Xenopus tropicalis: one gene and its partner. The main gene of each other region encodes a partner of the protein of the gene in region 2 in a complex. Links are inferred from orthologs where the notes say so. Each region holds a gene or a part of one and is shown on either strand. Other genes may lie near its edges.

Region 1 (3,352 bases), on a different chromosome or scaffold from region 2:
TACATCAGCCTCTACATCCCCCTCCCCACCAAATACACCAGCCTCTACATCCCCCTCCCCACCAAATACACCAGCCTCTACATCCCCCTCCCCACCTACTCAGCCTCTACATCCTCCTCTCAAACAATACACCAGCCTCTAATCCCCTCCCCACCAAATACACCCAGCCTCTACATCCTCCTCTCCACCAAATACACCAGCCTCTACATCCCCCTCCCCACCAAATACCACTAGCCTCTACATCCCCTCCCCACCAAATACCACCAGCCTCTACATACCCTCCCACCAAATTACATCAGCCTCTACATCCCCTCCCCACCAAATACACCAGCCTCTACATCCCCTCCCCACCTACATCAGCCTCTACATCCCTCTCCCACCAAATACATCAGCCTCTACATCCCCCTCCCCACCAAAATACATCAGCCTCTACATCCCCTCCCCACCAAATACATCAGCCTCTACATCCCCCTCCCAACCAAATACACCAGCCTCTACATCCCCCTCCCCACCAAATACACCAGCCTCTACATCCCCCTCCCCACCTACATCAGCCTCTACATCCTCCTCTCCAACAAATACACCAGCCTCTACATCCCCCTCCCCACCAAATACACCAGCCTCTACATCCCCCTCCCCACCTACAATCAGCCTCTACATCCTCCTCTCCAACAATACACCAGCCCTCTACATCCCCTCCCCACCAAATACACCAGCCTCTACATCCCCCTCCCCACCAAATACATCAGCCTCTACATCCTCCTCTCCACCAAATACACCAGCCTCTACATCCCCCTCCCACCAAATACACCAGCCTCTACATCCCCCTCCCCACCAATACACCAGCCTCTACATCCCCTCCCCACCAAATACACCAGCCTCTACATCCTCCTCTCCACCTACATCAGCCTCTACATCCTCCTCTCCACCAAATACACCAGCCTCTACATCCCCCTCCCCACCAAATACACTAGCCTCTACATCCCCCTCCCGACCAAATACACCAGCCTCTACATCCCCCTCCCCACCAAATACACCAGCCTCTACATCCCCCTCCCCACCAAATACACCAGCCTTTACACAGAACTTGCTGATTAACTTTTGCCCCCATGCAGGTATGTTCCTTGCAGTGTGAGGGGTCTCTACTTCCTGATGATGAATGGGAGAGGTGTGGCCAACTCTTATCTTCTCAAGAAGAGGTCCTAGAAGTGAAGAGGGAGCAAGAACTGGTGCCGCCAATGTTGGACTCCCAAGACATGCTGGTAAAGCGCTACGGGGGATTCATACGGAAGCCCGATAAGAACAAATTCCTTAATGCTAAGCGTGAGAACTTTAGCAAAAGGTACGGGGGGTTCCTGCGCAAATATACCCTGCGAGACCTCCCGGATGTCTCTTCCAATCCAGAGGCAAAGCTGGAGTCTCCAGATGCTGAGGAGCTGGGCTGGTTCAGTCCCACCTGGGGCACTAAGGACGAAAGGAAAAGATATGGGGGGTTTCTGCGGAAATACCCCAAGAGGATTCTAAGCCAAGAAGGGGATTTCGAGAGAAGAAGGAGGCTACAGGAGGGGCTGGAGGCGGGGCAAGCCATAGTCACGGGGCAGGAGATAGAGACAGGGCAAGAGCTGGACCTAGAACGTGGCACTGCAGAGCTAGAGAAGCGATACGGAGGGTTCTTGCGCAGAATCCGCCCCAAACTAAGGTGGGACAATCAGAAACGGTACGGGGGGTTTCTACGGCGCCAGTTCAAGGTCAATGCAAGGTCAGAAGAGGACCCCACCATGTTCTCAGGGGAGCTCTCCTACCTATAGAACGGAGGTGGCTGCTGGGGGCGAGAAGGGATGGACATGGCAGAACCCACTCAACTTGTCTTCTTCATGTACCAACAACTCTAATGCCTACCCCCCTAACCATCCTCCAACCATACCCCCCCAAGAACACCAACTGCCCTTCAGCCCATCCCCTCATGAACACCAACTGCCCTTCAGCCCATCCCCTCATGAACACCAACTGCCCTTCAGCCCATCCCCTCATGAACACCAACTGCCCTTCAGCCCATCCCCTCATGAACACCAACTGCCCTTCAGCCCATCCCCTCATGAACACCAACTGCCCTTCAGCCCATCCCCTCATGAACACCAACCACCCTCCAGTCAATCCCCCCATGATGTACTTACCCCGCTCACACAACCCGACGCTACTGGACACTACTCAAGCTCCATTCCTGGTTTTCTGAAGGCCCCAAGAACCTCAGGAGCATGTATATGTGCAAGTTACCCATGCGCCCCCTATGGACACCGTCATGATGGTTCCCCCTCTCTCCCTTACTGCCCCATGTGAGGGGCAGAATAGTTACCATGCTGCTAACTAAACACAAGTCTCAGCCCATGTGACCTCCCAGCTTTGTGTGGAACACGGTTCCACCTCGCCGCCCCCCCACAGCCAATACCCACGGCAAATACCCACGGCAAATACCCACGGCAAATACCCACGGCGTCCCACAGACTTCAATGCCTCTTGTAAAATACGATTGTACAAATAAATTCACTTTATGTCCTAAAAGCAAACGGAAGTGGCTTTTTGTGATCTGTACGTGGGGCAAATAGAATGCTGCCCCCCAGTGGTGGAGCCTTACTGGGCAGTAGTACAACTCCTTGTGGTACTTATGGGGCATTACAGGTACACTAACCCTATAGATCTCTGTGGGGCAAATAGAATGCTGCCCCCCAGTGGTGGAGCCTTACTGGGCAGTAGTACAACTCCTTGTGGTACTTATGGGGCATTACAGGTACACTAACCCTATAGATCTCTGTGGGGCAAATAGAATGCTGCCCCCCAGTGGTGGAGCCTTACTGGGCAGTAGTACAACTCCTTGTGGTACTTATGGGGCATTACAGGTACACTAACCCTATAGATCTCTGTGGGGCAAATAGAATGCTGCCCCCCAGTGGTGGAGCCTTACTGGGAAGTAGTACAACCCCTTGTGGTACTTATGGGGCATTACAGCTACACTAACCCTATAGATCTCTGTGGGGCAAATAGAATGCTGCCCCCCAGTGGTGGAGCCTTACTGGGCAGTAGTACAACCCCTTGTGGTACTTATGGGGCATTACAGTTACACTAACCCTATAGATCTCTGTGGGGCAAATAGAATGCTGCCCCCCAGTGGTGGAGCCTTACTGAGCAGTAGTACAACCCCTTGTGGTACTTATGGGGCATTACAGGTACACTAACCCTATAGATCTCTGTGGGGCAAATAGAATGCTGCCCCCCAGTGGTGGAGCCTTACTGGGCAGTAGTACAACTCCTTGTGGTACTTATGGGGCATTACAGGTACACTAACCCTATAGATCTC
Region 2 (3,836 bases):
CCCAAAGAGAAAACATTAAGATGTCTTTATGGCAGTGGCAGTTCCACCCTGATCTGATGCCCAAATGCTACACGTTGCAAGCAAAATCACTGTAATTTGCAGTTTATTATCTGTGTACTTACCATCACTAATTTTAGTCCCTCCAAGTACAATAGCAGATATTCCAACAGAGGATGATAACATCCATATACATATATTGATGCATTTTGCTTTAAGAGGTGTACGGAAATCCAGGGCCTTTACAGGATGGCAAACAGCAATATATCTATCAACGCTCATCATGGTTAAAGTGAATATGCTGGTAAACATATTATAGTAGTCGATAGAAACCACAATTTTACAGAGGACATCTCCAAATGGCCAAGAATTCATTAAAAATGAAGTGCTTTGAAAGGGCATTGTAGTGGTAACTAGGGCATCGGCTAGCGCCAGGTTAAATATATAAATGTTGGTGGCAGTCTTCATTTTTGTATATCTGTTGGAATACAAAAAAATATAATAATAAGAAGAAAGTATGTTGCTCCATTTAAATGAAAAACCTTTACAATAATTCTTTTCTGGTAGAAAAGGCCTTTATATTGCTAGAATAACACATTCGAATATAAACATAGAATCTAAGTAAACACCCCAAACGATGCTTTTATTAAATTATAATATTACATTAGAATTCTATCTAATCTATCTAATCAGCCAAAAGGTTTTACCTTAAAAAAAGTATGTTAGTATGTTATAGAATGGTCAATTCAAAGCAACTTTTCAATTAGTCTTCATTATTTATTTTTTTTTAACGTTTTAAAATTATTTTTTTACTAATTATTCTTCTAACTCCTTGTAGCTTTCAAATGGGGGTCACTGGCCCCAGCAGCCAGAAAGCCATTGCTCTGTGAGGCCTCTCCTATTCATATTCCAGTTGCTGAACAAACACTGAAATCATTCAAAATCTACAAATAATAAAAAATGAAGATCAATTGCAAACTGTCTCAGAATATTACTCTCTACATCATACTAAAAGTTAACTCAAAAGGTGAACAACTCCTTTAGTGTGTGGACAACAGCATTTCCTTGTGCGGATACCAAGTGGAATTCATTCATTTAAACACACTAGCGGTTTACAATTACTTTGGTTAAAGAAACAAAAAAGAAGACCACATTTGCCAATTTCATCTGAATGTGTATACCCAAATTCAGTAGTTCTGTGACTATAAGGAGATCAGCACTTTAGGACTGGGTTTTATCTGCATAGATAAAGTACTGGAACCCAAAAACTTAGTTTCCATAGATATATGGCAGAGTGAGAAAAGCAGAGTTGCAGACTAAGCACTGGAGCACTCCAACAGAGTAGGGGAGAAAGGTAAGGGGGCGGGGATCTGCCAGATGGAGGGTGGCACATAAATGTTGGGGATTAGAAATAAAAGGGGAGAGTAGAGAAGGGAAATATATTTATGAAACCTATGATAATGCTCTGTTACAGTGGGAGACATTGTGAATTCATTTTATGTACTCAAACTCTGACCTTCATACAATTAAGCAAGGGCATCTTTGGAGTAAGTGCAATGACACAGTATGCCATGATAGGGGATTCCATGAATAAGACTGGCAGATAGTATTAGAAGCAATAGTACAAATGGAAGAAGAGACAGAAACTTAACCATGGACATTGCATTGTGGCCATGTGAAATAATTATTAATCAAATGTAGATATGATTAGCAGTGCCACTGCCAGAAGCACAAGATTAATTGAATCCCTTCTCTTAACTAATTACAGTGCTCTTATGTTTGCCAGTATAACAGGAACTAGGAAATAATTCATTTATGGGGATGAGTAAACCCCAAACATACAAATCATTTGCACAGAGCATAAAGAAAAGCTCAGTGTGCCACTGACCGCACAGTCCATGGTGGTGTAGCAGTGTTATGTACTGTAAGGAAGTTGGGTTGAGAAATGAACAATTGTCAACCACATGGTTGCATCATATTTATATACACTGTATCAGTTTCAGTTAATTGGATATTTTAGTTCTTGCTGCAATCTAGTCAAGTACTTCCAACAAGTTTAAAATGATGCCTAATAGTGAAAAAAGAATACTAAATTTGTCTTAATAATAATGGGTCACTAGGAAGCACACAGTATGTGAGATCTAGTTTTATGTTCTTGCTACAATGTATAGAAAAACATCTGGGAATTGCATCTGTTGCTCGCAGTCATCTTTAGTCCTTTCATTACTGGCCATGCTTCGTAGTGATGTGCAACTATGACCTGTTGGTAGACCATGTACCTGGAACAGTTTGTTGCAAAAGGATTACATGATATAGTTCACTAAGACAGGGTAAAATATTAGGGAGAACAGTACAATATTGTGGATTTCTTCTCTCATTTTGTCTAAAATGTATTCTTCAATCTTCCATTGGAAATAATCAGATTTTGTTCTGGCCTGAGCTGGCAAACAAATTTCAACAATAATTTTGGTCAAAGTACTTTATAATTATGACAAGTCAAAATTGCATAGAATTTTTGTTTAAACTAAATTTATATTGTAGTTTAATAAATAGGTGAACATTAAAAGAAAAAAATTTAAATCTGCAGTCTCCAAAAAATTCTATTATTCTGTTACTTAATATGCTCCTATTGTGTCTGTTACCCTCCCACTTAGATTGTAAGCTCTGCAGCACTTCCTCTTGTTTCTTTGACACTTAGGATCTTTTATGTATCTGTACTGTGTATTTATTTGTATTAATTACTGTAATGACGCGTTTGTCCTATTAATTTATTGTTCTGCTATACATTACTGCGTACATAAGTAGCACTACTGAAATAAAAATATACACACAATCTATACAGTACATACATAATTTAAGCCCTGCATGCTAGAAGATGATTTGCGTCAGATAGATTTGACTTTTATATAACCTCAACAGCTTTTAGATATTTTTTTTCATTTTTACTTTCAGATTTGTTGCAGTTTTGATGCATAATAAATCAAGTTTTTTTCTGTCGAAAAAAGGATTTTGTGCAAAAAAATATAAATTGTGAAAAAATACCCCCCACAAAGCTGTGGTATTTTTTTTAAAAAACAAAAATAAAAATAAAGAACAACCAATTTGATGGTTTCTACTACTTCTTAGAAAATAAATCATTTGGTGCTGTTAACATTTTCTAAAATGATTAAACTCATCATTATTAATTTTTTCATTACTGCTTTATTTTTCCTTGCAAGATGAAGACACCATTTCCAAGCCAATTACTGATAAAAGCAAAAATGATTAATATTTCTAGCAGGTACTGCTCTTTAGTCCAAGGTAGGCTCATCTGACATGTAAAAGAGTAATTTATTGTAACTGACAGGGAAAGAGATACATGAACAGAGTAACAATGTCACTAACACAATGTGAGATACAGGCAAAAACAGAAAAATAGTAGCGTGAACAGCATTTTTATCATCTGACATGATTAGCTAATCATTTGTTCATTTGGCACTACATAGATGGCAATAACGGAAATTTCCAGGGAGGTCTTTGCTACTGTATCAGTATGTCTACATTAATAGAGCAAACCACATTCATTCTATTTCTGCAGTGTCAGATGGAACAGCATTCAGAATTTCTTTATCAGGAGAGTTATACAAGTAATGTGGATCTTTGTTTATTCAAGACTTATAGAATGAGAGAAGAGTATGGATATTGGTTTCTGGATGTAAGATTGTTAAACTATTTTTCATTTTTAAAAGCCTACAATATATACACTAAAATCTTTTGGACCTTTGGCAACTATGGAAATATATCCAACTTATATTAGGTGACAGTGTCAAACAGTGGCTGCTAAAATGAATAAATTATTA

The links.
Region 1: the proteins of oprk1 (region 2) and pdyn are in contact, whole or in part, in a cryo-EM structure (PDB 8F7W), measured with the Homo sapiens proteins. The link is inferred for Xenopus tropicalis from reciprocal best matches to the Homo sapiens genes OPRK1 and PDYN. Residues at the interface, in NP_000903.2 of Homo sapiens: Thr111, Gln115, Trp124, Val134, Ile135, Asp138, Tyr139, Met142, Lys200, Glu209, Cys210, Asp216, Tyr219, Lys227, Val230, Phe293, Ile294, Glu297, His304, Ala308, Leu309, Tyr312, Tyr313, Ile316, Tyr320; in NP_001177821.1 of Homo sapiens: Tyr207, Gly208, Gly209, Phe210, Leu211, Arg212, Arg213, Ile214.

The regions. Positions count from the first base shown.
Region 1 is NC_030686.2:846,172-849,523, reverse strand, and holds pdyn (proenkephalin-B), read left to right. Parts: upstream 1-1,060; 5' UTR 1,061-1,109; coding exon 1,110-1,808; 3' UTR 1,809-2,564; downstream 2,565-3,352.
Region 2 is NC_030682.2:114,705,078-114,708,913, forward strand, and holds part of oprk1 (kappa-type opioid receptor), read right to left. Parts: intron 476-3,836; coding exon 123-475; intron 1-122. UniProt on the Homo sapiens protein: G-protein coupled opioid receptor that functions as a receptor for endogenous alpha-neoendorphins and dynorphins, but has low affinity for beta-endorphins.